Neurospora crassa OR74A: one gene and its partners. The protein of the gene in region 3 purifies or fractionates together with the protein of the main gene of each other region. This does not show direct contact. Links are inferred from orthologs where the notes say so. Each region holds a gene or a part of one and is shown on either strand. Other genes may lie near its edges.

The links. Proteins that work in one complex are often made in the same cells at the same time.
Region 1: the proteins of NCU05233 (region 3) and crp-4 purify together in Saccharomyces cerevisiae (affinity purification with mass spectrometry; 3 studies listed by BioGRID, with this or other methods). This does not show direct contact. The link is inferred for Neurospora crassa OR74A from reciprocal best matches to the Saccharomyces cerevisiae genes NOP53 and RPL5.
Region 2: the proteins of NCU05233 (region 3) and NCU03066 purify together in Saccharomyces cerevisiae (affinity purification with mass spectrometry; 6 studies listed by BioGRID). This does not show direct contact. The link is inferred for Neurospora crassa OR74A from reciprocal best matches to the Saccharomyces cerevisiae genes NOP53 and NUG1.
Region 4: the proteins of NCU05233 (region 3) and NCU06468 purify together in Saccharomyces cerevisiae (affinity purification with mass spectrometry, with the first as the bait; 3 studies listed by BioGRID). This does not show direct contact. The link is inferred for Neurospora crassa OR74A from reciprocal best matches to the Saccharomyces cerevisiae genes NOP53 and REA1.

Annotation. Positions count from the first base shown.
Region 1 is NC_026505.1:5,646,510-5,650,013, reverse strand, and holds crp-4 (60S ribosomal protein L5), read left to right. Parts: upstream 1-1,419; 5' UTR 1,420-1,594; coding exon 1,595-1,597; intron 1,598-1,789; coding exon 1,790-1,827; intron 1,828-1,908; coding exon 1,909-2,773; 3' UTR 2,774-3,004; downstream 3,005-3,504. Other genes in the region: NCU04332 (epoxide hydrolase), read right to left, coding at 1-878, 980-1,114. UniProt on the Saccharomyces cerevisiae protein: Component of the ribosome, a large ribonucleoprotein complex responsible for the synthesis of proteins in the cell.
Region 2 is NC_026501.1:4,414,055-4,418,042, reverse strand, and holds NCU03066 (GTP-binding protein), read left to right. Parts: upstream 1-1,318; 5' UTR 1,319-1,423; coding exon 1,424-1,451; intron 1,452-1,522; coding exon 1,523-3,147; 3' UTR 3,148-3,488; downstream 3,489-3,988. Other genes in the region: NCU03067 (hypothetical protein), read left to right, coding at 1-300; NCU03065 (mitotic control protein dis3), read right to left, coding at 3,664-3,988. UniProt on the Saccharomyces cerevisiae protein: GTPase required for 60S ribosomal subunit export to the cytoplasm.
Region 3 is NC_026504.1:5,668,603-5,672,157, forward strand, and holds NCU05233 (60S ribosome subunit biogenesis protein NOP53), read left to right. Parts: upstream 1-1,204; 5' UTR 1,205-1,436; coding exon 1,437-1,588; intron 1,589-1,661; coding exon 1,662-2,868; 3' UTR 2,869-3,055; downstream 3,056-3,555. Other genes in the region: NCU05234 (GTP-binding protein ryh1), read right to left, coding at 1-25, 110-135, 232-278; NCU05232 (AP-2 complex subunit beta), read right to left, coding at 3,378-3,555. UniProt on the Saccharomyces cerevisiae protein: Late-acting factor in the nuclear maturation of 60S ribosomal subunits, which is required for normal acquisition of export competence. Required for the export of the large subunit.
Region 4 is NC_026503.1:1,522,817-1,526,750, reverse strand, and holds the start of NCU06468 (midasin), read left to right. Parts: upstream 1-1,134; 5' UTR 1,135-1,192; coding exon 1,193-3,931; intron 3,932-3,934. Other genes in the region: NCU06469 (putative mitochondrial 54S ribosomal protein MNP1), read right to left, coding at 189-389. UniProt on the Saccharomyces cerevisiae protein: Nuclear chaperone required for maturation and nuclear export of pre-60S ribosome subunits.

The DNA of each region.
Region 1 (3,504 bases), on a different chromosome or scaffold from region 3:
GCCAGCTTCAACCCCGTCACGTTCTCCAGCTCATCAACCGCCTCAAACGCCTTTCCCAACCCAACCTTGATAGTCCTAAACCCAGCCTTCCTCGCCGCCTTCAGATTCTCCCCAATGTCATCCAGAAACACAACATCCTCCGGCCTCACCCCTTCTGCCCAACCGCCCCTCTTCCCCCTTTCGGAGTCAGCATTTGCCCTCGCAAACTGATCTACCTTTTCAAGCGCCAACTGATAGATCCTCGGATCCGGCTTTCTTAACCCCACATGCGCCGACGAAATGAAAACATCAAATAGCTGTCGCAACGGATCGCTGAAGAAGTCCCCCTTCTCCGCCCACTTGTGCCCCTCCGGCCAGATCACCGTATTACTCAGTGCCGCGACGACGAACCGTCCGTCTTCCTTGAGTTTTTGGAGGGCGGGAAACATCCAGGGGTCTGGAGCTCGAGCGTGCTCCATCATGTCGTGGAATAGCCACTCGCCGTCGATTTGGGGGATGGGCGGGATCGATAGTAGTTCATCAGAGCCAGAAGAAGAACCAGAAGAAGAAGAAGATGAAGAAGATGAAGAAGATGATGATGATGATGATGATGATGATGATGATGATGATGATGATGATGAGGAGCGGTGATGGTGGTGGTGCTTTTTGGCTTGTTGGTGGTGGTGGTGGTGAGACCGGTAGAAGGATTCCCAGAGGGATTGGTTGTGCAGGTCCCGGTTGAAGCCGGCGAAGAAGGCAGCGTCCATGGGAATGGAACCGGTTTCGAGACGGTGCCAGAAGCCTGAAGGGGCGGAGCGCGAGATGGAGTGGTTGATCCAGCCTGGGGGGATGGAGTGACGGAGTTCGTAGTTGAGGATGGACTGGAAGGGGGAGATGACCTGGGTTTGTGTTAGTTATTTAGTTATGTTGGTGTTGTTTTGTGAGGGGTAGATGTATTTGTGTATATAAGTGAAGTGGTGATGTGGTCATGTTGACTTACACAGACGCCGCCAATGTCAAAGAGGATGACTTTGGGCTTGGGGGACCCGGAGGACCTTTTCCCTTTGAGGATGGTTGGCGCCATGTTGTCGATGGCTTCAAGAATGTATTCAGGGGGAAACTCTTCAGGAAGCATCACACTATAATGTCATGGGACTTTGGGGGTATAAGGATGTTTGGATTCATCTATCAACAACATTGGACCTCCGCACATTGGCACCAGGAAGCGATTAGTGAAGTGAATGGTACACTATACTAGACCTCGGTTCGGGACAGTGATTGCCAGAGGTCGACGGCTACTGAAGCCCGAGACTACTTACAATGCCATTGGCAGAGCCCACAATTGCCTGCCGCTTGCGTGAAATTCTTGGCGCTAGGTCGTCGCCCACCGTGGCGCCACGGCAAAGCATGGGTGAGTGAATCGGTCGTCGCCAACCTGAGTTGACAACCCAGCGGTCAGCCGACCAATCAGGCGCGCTCTTGTTCTTAGGGTTGTGGGGATTGTAGTGCGAAATTCCTGCCCACCAAAGTTTGTTCGCGATCTCGAAATTTCCCTTCTGACAACCCAGCCCGTCTCAAGACCGTTTGTTGAGTGCACCCAGCAAAAGTAGTCAAAATGGTAAGTTGACGACCTACGGCGTGCGTCGCGGCCGTTCAGCAATGAGCGACCAGCGGCTGCGTTCAAATCACACACCATTCCCAGAGGGAAACTTGGGGGAAATTGAGGAGAAAGAGAGTCAACGCAAGATGCTTCGGAGAGGAGGAAATATTCTGAAGCGATAATTGCTGACTCGGGGATTTTGATTGTCAGGCCTTCCACAAGCTTGTCAAGAACAGCGCGTACTACAGGTAAGCAGATGTTCTCTTTTTGAAAATCCGAGAAAAATCGATAGGAGCTCGGGGTTCGCTAACATTCAATCCGCCCAACAGTCGCTTCCAGACCAAGTACAAGCGCAGAAGAGAGGGCAAGACCGACTACTATGCCCGCAAGCGCCTCATCACCCAGGCCAAGAACAAGTACAATGCTCCCAAGTACCGCCTGGTTGTCCGCTTCACCAACCGCGACATCATCCTCCAGATTGTGAGCTCCGAGATCACCGGCGACAAGGTCTTTGCCTCCGCCTACTCCCACGAGCTCAAGGCCTACGGCATTGAGCACGGTCTCACCAACTGGGCTGCTGCCTACGCCACCGGTCTCCTCCTCGCCCGCCGTGTCCTCAAGAAGCTCGGCCTCGACGAGACCTTCAAGGGTGTTGAGGAGGCTGACGGTGAGTACAAGCTCACCGAGGCCGCCGAGACCGACGATGGCGAGCGCCGCCCCTTCAAGGCCTTCCTTGATGTCGGTCTTGCTCGCACCTCCACCGGTGCCCGTGTCTTCGGTGCCATGAAGGGTGCCTCCGACGGCGGTATCTTCATCCCCCACTCCGAGAACCGTTTCCCCGGTTACGACATGGAGTCCGAGGAGCTCGATGCCGAGACCCTCAAGAAGTACATCTTCGGCGGTCACGTCGCTGAGTACATGGAGACCCTCGCCGACGACGATGAGGAGCGCTACAAGTCCCAGTTCAACCGCTACATTGAGGACGATCTTGAGGCTGATGGCCTTGAGGACCTCTACGCCGAGGCCCACGCCGCCATCCGCGAGGACCCCTTCAAGAAGGCCGAGTCCGAGGCTCCCAAGAAGACCAAGGAGGAGTGGAAGGCCGAGTCCCTCAAGTACAAGAAGTCCAAGCTCACCCGCGAGCAGCGCGCTGCTGGTGTCCAGGAGCGCATTGCCGCTCTCCGCTCGGAGTAAATTGGAAGTTGTTATGGACTTTGCTAGGGGTTGAACAACCTTTTGGGAGGAAACAGGTTCTGTTCATTCGATGCGCATGGGTGCGAAATCATCTGGGTCATGGGGATGACATGGTCTCTCAAAAGGGTTCATCTAAAAGCCAATCAACTTTCTTCTGTCTTGAGCAAAAGAGCATTACTCGGCGTTCGTTCATGTGATACCTCAATCGTAATTTGATCTTCCTTTTCCCATTTGAGACTCGACGCTGTCCATCTTTTCTTGTGATTGATTACCTTTCCAAAATCTCCAAAACCGGTGCTGACCGACGGCAAATTCTCGTGAAACACGATTCATGTAAAGTCATCCATACTCTCTCACTTCCACCGCCAAGCAATGTCATTTGCTTGGGGATGAAGATCAACTTTACAAATCTCACGAGTCATTGACCCCTCACGATTCATGGTAGGTTGCTACTGTGCGCTACATGTACACTATAACTCGATACAGGTTTGTTCGTTGTTTGTTAGTCCGAGACCTTCTAGCCAACTTGTCCCGGCCTTTCAACAAACAATTCAAGGTTGATGTGTGTTTTTCTTATCGATGACGGGATTCTCAAGATGAGTAGAGCTAAGGTATGAATTCATATCTAATTGGACAAACTGGACAAATTCTGTTTTTTTGCCTCCCCCTCCCCTTCCCCATTTGTAACTTTTATATATTTTTCTCCGAGTTCCATTGATCGCGCGGCATTC
Region 2 (3,988 bases), on a different chromosome or scaffold from region 3:
GCGATGCGTAACTTCAACAGTGCGCTTGCTTTTTGCGAATCAGGGGCTGCTTCCGGTGCCATTCTGAGCGGTGACCGTTACAAACAGTTGGCTTTTACCAAACTCGGTGGTACACACAGACGCCTTGGCAAGTATGAGCAGGCAAAAGACCTGCTCGAGCAAGCAATGGCCATGTCGGCATCAAGTGAGCTGCGCATCGAAGCCAGTGGCGAGCTTGGTGTTATCTATCAGCACATGGACCTGATGGATGATGCAAAGCGTGTGCTTCGGGTTCAGTATGAAACAGCAAAGGAGTTTTAGGCGGAGCACTTCGCGTGCCGGTCGATCGGAAACCTCGATACGGTCAACTAGCAACTGTCCCAGCAGCGTTAGGATGAGTCGTTGTTGTAATTAGCGATAAATTAGCTCCTTGAACGCGTTGAAAGGGCCCATCAGATCAAGGATACAATTGACTCGCAAGTCCTGGATGCATTTACAAGAGAACAGCGATTGAAGGGTGCGATAACTTGGGAAACAATCGGTCTCTTCCGTCTTTCTCTACGCTAAATGGGGGATACCTACGGAAGAGTTTCTGAAGATACTCCCTCATGTGAAGCGTGATAAGCGTGGTTTCTGGGTGATATGTTACCTCCCCACCACAACCCCCTTTCTTGATGCGTATTCGATGCTAGCATGCTATTTTGCTTCAGGACTTTGTCTACGTAGGCCAAGATGACCCAATGTCCGGAGTGTCTGCTCTGCCGATAATCATTGCATAGTGCAATGCCATTGTCAGCTTAAGCGACGATCAATTATGCGAGCGGGGCACGGTGTTCTGTTGAATCCATGATGATCCAAAAACTCAAAAAAAGCGTACAGCGTCCATGTGTGGTATAAACAAGTGCTTGACGACAGAACTGATGGCATCCAGAACTGCACCTTGACGGACGGTTCGATGGATTTGAGGATCGTCATGGCAGACAAGTGTTTGATTGTTGAGACGGACCGACCTAAAGTCCTCTTTCTGGAAAGGCAATGCAAACCACTTGCGTAAAGAGTCGGTAGCAATAATTCTTCATATACATATAGAGAACAAGCGCAACCACACCATAAGTGTATCAATATAATTTACATTCCACGTTTGGCTAAACACAAATCAAACATACAATACGACTGTAAATTACAGGCACGCGCATCTCCACATTCGAAGCGGGGACTTCTGGAATCTTGGTGGAGTTCAACACGGCGGATCCCTGCTTTATCAGAGCTTATCTAGGCGGTCAGCAGTGGCACAAACCGTTCCTCCACTCTAATTTTTTGACGACCATCAATCAGTACAGCCGCCCATAGTAGCGACCGGATTTTGCTGCTTTACCTTGCTGTCCCATCCTCAATTATCCTCCTGTACCTCCTTTTTTGACATTAGGAGCAGCATATCTTCAAAATGGCCGGATCGATAACAAAGCCCAAAAGTCAGTCAATCTTTCGCTGAGAACAACATATTCTTCCAATCAACACATTGACTGACGTTACTTAAAAACAGAGCCGAAATCGAAGCGTACACCCGTACGCCTCAGGCACAAGATCCAGAAGGCCTCGGCCGCGAAGCAACGCAAGGACAGAAAGCTCGCCAAGAAGAACCCAGAATGGCGCTCCAAGCTCAAGAAGGACCCGGGTATCCCGAACCTTTTCCCCTACAAGGAGAAGCTGTTGAACCAGATCGAGGAGGACCGCATTCGGAGAAAGGAACAGGAGCAGAAGCGTCGTGAGATGGCCAAGGCGGCCAAGACTGGCCAGGACACCAAGACGGGCGCCGAGGGCGATGTCGAGGCGTTCGATGACGATCTGATGGACGACGACGATGCTATGGAGGAGGATGGTAGCGACGTTGACGATGAGTCGAACCCCCTCGCTGCCCTGGTGGCCAGCGCCAGGAAAGCTGCCGAGCAGTACGACCGCGAGCTCCAGAGCGGCGACGAGATGGACGATGACGACGAGTCCGACGACGAGACCGATGGCGAACCCACACAGTCCGGCGTTATTGAGGTTCCCGGCGGCGCCTCCTCGCGCAAGGCTTTCGACAAGGTCTTCAAGCAGGTTGTTGAGCAGGCTGATGTCATTCTTTACGTCCTCGACGCCCGTGATCCCGAAGGCACCCGCTCGAGGGACGTCGAGCGCGCCGTCATGGCCGCCGCCCACGGTGGTAAGCGCCTGATCCTCATCCTCAACAAGGTCGATCTGATCCCTCCCCCGGTCCTCCGCGGCTGGCTCACCCACCTGCGCCGCTACTTCCCCACGCTGCCGCTGCGTGCCTCCAACCCTGCCCCCAACGCCCACACCTTCCAGCACCGCGACATTACCGTCCAAAGCACCAGCGCGGCTCTCTTCCGTGCGCTCAAGTCGTACGCCGTCTCGCGCAACCTCAAGCGCTCCATCCAGGTTGGCGTAATCGGCTACCCTAACGTCGGCAAGTCGTCCGTCATCAACGCCCTCCTGTCCCGCCTCAGCAACAGCCGCGGCCAGCACAACGCCTGCCCGGCCGGCGCCGAGGCCGGCGTCACCACCTCGATCCGCCAGGTCAAGATCGACAGCAAGCTGACGCTGCTCGACTCGCCCGGTATCGTGTTCCCTTCCACTGCCGGCAACTCGACCTTCACCCCCAAGAACCAGACCGAGGCGCACGCCCACCTGGTGCTCCTTAATGCCATCCCGCCCAAGCAGATCGAGGACCCGGTCCCCGCCGTGACGCTGCTGCTCAAGCGCCTGTCGGCCACCCCCGAGTTGATGGACAAGATGATGAAGGTGTACGACCTTCCCCCCTTGCTGCGCGACCCCAACAACGGCGACCCCACCATGGACTTCCTTGTCCAGGTTGCCCGCAAGCGCGGCAGGCTGGGCAGGGGCGGTATCCCCAATATCCAAGCCGCTGCCATGACTGTCGTGACCGACTGGCGCGACGGTCGTATCCAGGGCTGGATCGATGCTCCCGTCTTGGCTGTGGCTGGTACCGCCACTGCTCCTGCTCCTGCTGGCGGCAAGTCTGCTACCGCTGATGAGCCCCTAGCGGATCAGAAGGTGATCGTGACCGAGTGGGCCAAGGAGTTCAAGCTGGATGGTCTTTGGGGAGATGAGGAGGAGACGGCGACTCCGGATGTTGAGATGCAGTAGAGCGATTTATTCCCCCTATCTTTGTCTGTTGGCAGTTGTTGTTGAGCATTTCACTTTTTGGTTTCTTTTTTGTTTTCGGTTGCGTCGGTGGTCAATGTCGTAATGAGTATTTTGTTGTTTTGCATGTCAGAAACACAATACAACGAACCCCGGAGCTGGACACATCTTTGTGAAGAGGCGTTTTGGCGTCAAGGTGGGAAAGAGCAAAAAGGGAGACAGGCAGGCCGGCTGGTAGAAAATAGGTCAAATATAGCCTGATCATAAACACCTCTATGACAAAGGCTTTTGAAGTGAAGCTTTAAATTCTTTCTGACATTCCCTGCATCGTTCATCATACCGAGCTGTGTTTTCAATGGCCTATTATCGAATTCGAAAGCAACGACATTCCGAAAATGACTTCATGAACGTTTGGATAGCCGAAAGTAAAAAAACAATGTATTGCTCTACAAAAGTCCATCAAGGGTATTCTTAACCTGTACCCCTTCTCAAATACTGAAGCATCCATCTTCAACAAATCTAATAAGTACTAACAAGCTCCATCTTCACCCCCCTCTTCCCCGTCGTCTCATCCTTCTGATCCGTCACCCTCACCCTGACCTTCTGGAACAACTCCACCTTAACCTCCCTGCTTCCCGATGTGGTCAGCGTGTACGTCTCGGCATCATACGTCGCCGCCGGCTCCGGCTCCGCCAGGTCACGCAGACGGATCAAGCTCTCGATACCGAACTTCGGCACGAGCACAACAAAGCCATTGCTAAAGATCTTCATGACGAAGCCGTCCTCCTCCGTAGCCTTGCCGCGCAGGGCCTGGCCGACATAATAAGCAATGCTGGCACGGCCG
Region 3 (3,555 bases):
CGTGTGATGAGCGACGTCTTGCCGACTGTTTGCGCGCAATCGTTGAGTTAGCATTGGTGTCTCGGAGAACATCGTGGAGAAAGTGTTGTAGGTTGAGGTAATCGCATACCGCTTTGTTCGCCCAAGAAGACCAACCTGGCGAGGAGAAAGAGTGGTTAGCATCTTGTCTTGTTTTGTCTTCCATTTGACTTAAGTGCATTGTCTGCAAAAGTGTCGGGTATGTTGTCTTACTTGAATTTCTTCAAGGGGTTGTTGTATGACCCGCCTGCTTGCGCCATTGTGATGGATGTGTTTGCGGATTAACGGTATTTGGCGGGGTAGGTAGGTAGGTAGGTAGGTAGGTAGCTGAAGGTATTCGGAAACACGATCAAGGGGAGGAAGCTTTCGGACTTTGGAGGAGGTGGTGGTGGTTAAGTGGCAGAAAGCTTAGTAGTGTAGGCGGTCGGAGTTGGTCTAGAGTTAGATAGGTGTCTGCTGGTCGTCGAAGTGGAAGATGGACGGCGGCGGAGAGTTGCCGGAGACTGATCATGCAGCGTTGAGTGGTCTCAGTGGTGCGACGGACGGGGCGTGGTGGCCGGGGGGTGGATGACAAGGGAGCTTGGAGGACAATCGGGTCGGTGTTTGGGATCCAGTCGGGGTCTCGTTGCCGACTTGGTTGCTGGGGTCTTTGCAGTCCGTCGAGTCTTCGTTTACCAAACAAAAATCGGGTCGAGAGATCGTTTTATAAGAGTTGATACCACAGAGAGCAGAAAATACTTGAACATTTAATATTTTGTTTGGATACAGATTAATTGATTGACCGACATTCCGTATGTACGTATGTACAAGTTTACATGTTTTTATCCATTGTTTATGCATAACCTCAAGTTCGAACAACAAAGTGTTTCTTGCGACTATTATTCAGTCTTCTTCCCCGAAGCGGACTCATGCGAGAGAAAGGGGACCGCGCCAAGCGATCAGTGGAGGGAAACAGTGGCCGCCCGCCGCCTTTCTGCGCCCAGACAAATTCGACACTTCACTTGACCAAAACGACCGAGACCGGGCATCCAATGGAAGCTTGGCGGCCGTCATTGGATTTGTCCAGAGGCCGAGGCAGCTTGGAAGTCTGATTGGCTAATTGCTCCAACTGCCAGCTGAGCACGGCTGGGGAAGGGAACTGAAGCGCTGGACGCTTGTGTTCCATGAAGTTGCTCTTCCCTGTCCTGTCTCGGGCAGGTCTTTCTTATCTTATCGCTGCCTCCTGTCGCCGCTGAAATTTTGAGTTGCACACCCCACTGGGCAGTCGGATTGATTGCAGAGGAGACCCCAGAATTCCAGGCGGTTTCGAGGTATCAATATTTCCAATTTCTTATCTGCCTCGAACCTCCGCCGACTCGTTTGATTTCTTCGAGTCGTCAACCCAACAACACAACACACCATCACATCACATATCCAAAATGCCCGTCCTAAAACCCTTGTCGGGCAATCCCGAAGCCCCCAAGCAATACAACCAACCGTCGAGAAAGGGCAAGAAGGCGTGGAGGAAGAATGTCGACGTGACAGAGGTCGAGCAGGGTCTCGATGAGTTGAACGCCCAGATTATCAAGGGGTACGGCGCTCCTTCTGTGATGCTTTGTATTACCAAAGACACCAATTGGTTAACATGAATTATCGTATAACAGTGGTGTCATTGCCGAGAAGACCTCCGAAGAACTCTTCGCCATCGACGTCAAGCCCGACACCGAAATCACCAAGAAGCTCCCCAAGCAACTCAAGAAGCCCTTGAAGGCCGACGAGATCCTCGCCCAGCGCTCCGCCGTTCCCGCCGTCTCCCTCAAGAAGCGCCCGGCTTCTGAAACCTCCGGCAAGGTCACCGACGGCGTCCTGCCCTCCAAGCGCCTGCGGGCCACCTACGTCACCCAAAAGGAGCTCAGTCGCCTGAAGCGCGTTGCCGACGGCCACCACACCACCACGGTTGAGGTCGTTGACGCCACCTTTGACGCCTGGGCCGACCCAGAGGAAGAGCAGAAAAAGAAGCAGCAGGCCGCGGAAACGTTCAACTTTTTGCCCAAGGTCGAGAAGCCCAAGGCGCCCAAGACGCTCACACAACAACCCATCTCCCTCGCCGCCACCGGCAAGCAGCTCCCCGCCGTTCCCAAGCCCAAGGGCGACAAGTCGTACAACCCCGCCTTCACCGACTACTCGGAGCGCTACCAGGAGGAGCTGCGCAAGGCCGAGGAGGCCGAACGGAAGCGGCTGGAGGAACTCGAGAAGGAGCGTCTCAAGGCCGAAGCGGCCGCCAAGTCGCGCGCCGAGGCCGAGGCCGCCGAGAAGCGCGCCGAGCTGTCGGAATGGGAGGATGATTCCGCCTGGGAAGGGGCCGAGAGCGACGCGGAAGGGTTGGCCAACAAGAAGAAGCGGCCGGAGCGCAAGACGCAAGCCCAGCGCAACAAGATCAAGCGCCGCAAGGCCGAGGAGCAGCGTCTGAAGCACGAGGCGGCCATCAAGAAGAGGGAGGCCGAGGCCGCGCGGGTCAAGCAGATTGCCAAGGAACTGGCCGAGAAGGAGAGGCAGCTTGCTCTCCAAAAAGCCGAATCCAACAATGTCGAAGAGGACGATGCTAGCCTTGAAGAAGATGACGACGTCGAGCTGCGCCGTAGGCAACTAGGCAAGTTCAAGTTGCCCGAGAAGGATCTGGAGCTGGTCTTGCCGGATGAGCTGCAGGATTCGCTGAGGTTGCTCAAGCCGGAGGGTAACTTGTTGAAAGACAGGTACAGGAATATGTTGCTTAGAGGCAAGGTGGAGGCGAGGAGGCACATTCCCTTCAAAAAGCAGGCCAAGACAAAGGTCACGGAGAAGTGGACTTTCAAGGATTTCAATCTGGCTTGAAGCGGCTCGGCTGGGTTTAAGTTTTGGGGCTTTACGGACATATACATATTCGGATTTGTTTGGTAATTGTTTTTCCTTCTACAAAATATTCCCTTTTGGTTTTTGTTAGTAGTACGTTTGTCATGTGTATATTGGCGTTTACGGTTTTCTCACTTGGTCTTCAGTGCAATAAAAGGTTGGAACATTCAAAGTGGTCCTATGCTCGCGTTTTTGTCTTTCAAGTCTTGTAGTGAGATGACATTACATGAATGTCTTCACACTCGCCCATTAACACACCAGAACATACGTAGTGACGGGATATTACTTGTTATTCGCATTATCTACAACCAAAAACCCTAACTGGATATCTTTTCCCACCACCCTACCAAATCACACACTCACCACGCTTCCCCAACTCCTAGTCTGTCTATTACATTACTACCTTGTCTCTCCTCTCTTCCCACTCTTACCCCTTCCCATCCCATCCCCCCTTTCCATTCGGAGCTAGGCACCCCTCACACCACACTCCCTCACAACAACAAATCCCCCTGAGCCCCATTCATCCCTCCCATGCCATTCATCCCCCCCATCCCCGGCTGGTACGCCGAGCTCTGACTGACCACGTACCCCTGTCCATACCCATAATGTCCCGCATCCCCACCAAAACTGTCGCCGGGCTGCTGTATCTGCATCTGCCTCATCTGCTGC
Region 4 (3,934 bases), on a different chromosome or scaffold from region 3:
GTCTAGGTAGTATAAGATAGGTCTGTCTGTCTGTCTGTCTGTCCGGGGCCGGGCCGGGTCGGGTCGGGTCGGGTCCGGGGCGCAAAAACATCCGGAAACCTTGAAACATGCTCCGATTCGGGTTTTGTGTGTCCCGGTTCCCGGCCCCGGTTGTTCTTCTTCTCGTGCTTTATTTAAATCGGGCGTACCTTGAGGCTGGACACAAGCTCCGAGGTCTCGAGGAGAGTCAGGGTGCTGATCTGGTCAACAATGGCGGCGATCTTGGGGTTGGCGGCAGGGGCGGCGGTGGACTCGAAGCGCTTCTGGACGAGGAGGGAGCTCGAGGCCCGGGTGGATGCGCGGAGCTGGCGGGCGGCGCATTGCGCGGCGAAGCGAACCGAGAGAGACATTGTTGGTATGTGTGTGTGTTGGTGGTGGTGGGTTGTGTGGATGGATGGATGGAGAGAGGGGAGTCGGACTCGGACCGGAGGAAGGAAAGAGAGAGGGCGCGCGGGGGCGGTCGGATTGGGGTTCTCTTTTTTTGGTGAGGGAGGCTTGCCGTCGACGTCGACTTCGAGGATCGTACAACCGAACCGTACAACAACTAAACGGAGATATTTTTTTGGGGACGTTGTCGCGCGCTCCCGGGTGCTGCGAAATCTGGGACCCACTACTGGCAGTTGGCAGCTTGGTGGTTTGGGCGTGCAAGTTGGATCTATGACGGCTGGCTGACCCGGAGCTGCAGCTGGAGGGGAAAACCCAAGCTGCCTGCCCCGCGCGAGTCTGGGGATTAGGTACCTCTGTACCTTGAAGTCCACTGAAGACGCGCTAAAGGATGGGCCCCTGTCATCCCAAGCGCGCCCCTGCTGCCGCTGGGCTGTTCGTCCCACCCGGAACTAGGTTCCACTTTTGAAGAAGATGGCTCCCTTGCCTGCCGCAGCCGACTTACACTACACTATGTAGAGTACTATGCAGTACACCCCAGCACATGCGCCTAGCGCTAAGTAGCATGTACCCCGCACTATCGTTCAGCGCGATAAGGAATTTCATGTGGGAAAAAGTTCCAAACGGGAGAAAGCGAAGTTCAATGGGCAAAAAAGTTAGAGATAAAAAAAAAAAAGAGACTAAGAAAAACATCACCGTTTTTCACAACGACGACGACGACGACGACGACGACATCCACGCCAACCCGTCCCGTCGCTTTTCCCTGGCCATGATGGCCGTGATCGATGTGAGCCAGCAGAGGGCGTCGCTCCTTAGCGATGCGACCACCTTGGACCTCTTGCCGCCAGAGTTGCTGCTCATAATCCAGGATCACCAATCGACCAAATTCCTCGATGCGATCGCCAGCGCCGCTCTTGTCTCGACAGCCACCGACCGCATCTTTACCCATTTCGAGTCTGTTTTTGCCGATATTTGCGCCAGATGGATTCTGTCTTCTCCAAAACTCGATACGCGAGTCCTTGCCGCTTTCGCAAGGATCTTGCCCTTCGCCCCGTCGCTGTCCGTCTTCCTCGTGTCGCATCTTCGAGGAGGATCTTTTGGTGGTGTTAATGGTGGTAACCACAACGACAAAAGCAACGACAATGATGCTTCTTCAAAACTTAAACCTCTCGATTCCCTTGACCTAGCTTCGATCCGCCCAGATGACCTCCCAATTGTCCTCCTAGCCCTCTGGAGGCTCAACAACTTTGACAAGCGCACCTACGCCGGCCTGTCAAAGCCATCCCAAATACAGACCCTGTTCGCACACGAGAACCCCATCGTCCGATATCTTGCCGTCCGAATCTTCTGCCAGCTTCATAATGCCGCCGATGTCAAGATCGAAGCCCTCCTCGAAAAGCACATACCCAAAGATACCAGCCTTGTCGCAGAGCTCGACGGGCGCGAAGCCGACTATGCGTTCCTCAGCCTACACGAGGATTCTAGACGTGAAGACATTCAGAGCTCTCGCAGTAAATCCCAACAAACTAGTGCGGTTGACGATGCGGTTGTCGAATTGAATATCACAAACATCCCAGAACAGAACCTCACTCCTCTAGTTGTCAAATATGGAAAGACAGTCCTCCCGCGTCCCCTCGGCCCTGTGACTGCTCCCACCACCCTCGCACTTACCCCGACGACTGTTGAGAACCTCGAGAACCTCACCGGGTGCCTGCAACGACCCGGGCCTATCCTCCTCCACGGCCTGTCCGGTTCCGGCAAGACCTCCCTAGTCCACGAGATTGCGCGCGAGTTAGGCAAGCAGAAGCAACTAGTGACACTACACCTGAACGAGCAAACCGACGCCAAGATGCTGCTTGGGCTATACACCACCGACTCGAAACCCGGTTCCTTCTCGTGGCGCCCAGGTGTGTTGACCACTGCCGTCAAGGAGGGAAGATGGGTCTTGATTGAGGATCTCGATCGCGCGCCAACAGAAGTCATGAGCACATTGCTGCCTCTCATTGAGCGAGGAGAGCTGCTAATTCCTGGACGCGGCGAGACCATACAGGCCACCGAAGGCTTCCGCATATTTGCTACTGTCCGGACGCTGCTCGGCATGAACGACAAGGAGAACCTACCCAGCTTGATTGGTCTGCGTCTTTGGCAGCTTACGCACGTCAAGGCCCTTCCCCAACAGGACTTGAAGGATGTCATCAACAGCAGATATCCCTTGCTTCACAAATACGTTCCAGGAGTGTTGGCGGTCTTCGATGCGTTGCTGGCGGCCACCAGCGGTTCGACCCGTCTGTCGCTCGGTCGCATGGTCTTCGAGCGGCCACTCGGCACAAGAGATCTCCTCAAGTGGTGCGGGCGCCTAGATGAGATTCTCCGTGCTTCCGGCTGCAAGACTGGCGAGGAGCCCATTACCGATACTACCAGGGACCGCATGTTCCTCGAAGCGGCCGATGTTTTCGTTGGTGGAGTCAAGGAGATCCAAGCGCGTAATATTCTAATAGGTGTCATTGCGAAGGAGATGCATCTTTCTCCCGAGAGGGTTGAGCACTACTTGACGAGCTACGTTCCCGACTTGGAGGATAATGAGTCAAGACTCACCATCGGCCGCGTCTCGTTTGCAAAGGGGAGGAAAACCAGCCGTGGGGCCAAGAACAAGAGGCCTTTCGCTACCACCACTCATGCTAAGCGGTTGCTGGAGCAGATTGCGGTTGCTGTAAGGCACAAGGAGCCGCTCCTGTTGGTCGGTGAGACGGGTATCGGTAAGACTACCGTGGTTCAGCAGCTGGCGGAATCACTTGGTCACCAACTTGTCGCCGTCAACTTGTCCCAGCAAAGTGAAGCTGGTGACCTTTTGGGTGGCTTCAAGCCCGTCAGCGCACAGACCCTCGCCATGCCTATCAAGGAGGAGTTTGAGGATCTATTCGAGAGAACCGGCGTCTCTGCTGAAAAGAACAAGGCTTATCTGGACGGGATCAACAAAAAGTTCGCCAAGGGCAGGTGGAGAGAGGTCTCCAAGGAGTGGCGCAAGGCTCCCAAGATGTTCGAGCAGATCCTCGCCAAGTTCGAGAGCATGCAAGCAGCCAAGACCGTAGAGGCGGAGGTTGCGGAGGAGAACCAGGAGCAGGGCCCAGCCAAGCGTCGGAAGACCGAGTCCAGCAAGCTCCAGCGCCTGCGGGATCTCAAGGCTCGTTGGGACTTGTTTTCGCAGAGTCTTGATCAGTTTGATAGACAGGTCGCGGCTGGTCCTGGTGGCTTTGCCTTTGCTTTCGTCGAGGGCAAGATTGTCAAGGCGGCGAGAAACGGTGACTGGGTCCTGCTTGATGAGATCAACTTGGCCTCACCTGATACCCTGGAAAGCATTGCTGGCTTGTTCCAGACCAATCCCTCTCTTTTGCTCTCTGAAACGGGAGAGATTGAGAGAATCCAGGCGCATCCCAATTTCCGCGTGTTTGGTGCCATGAACCCTGCCACAGATGTGGGCAAGAGAGATCTTCCCATGGGGCTGAGATCCGTG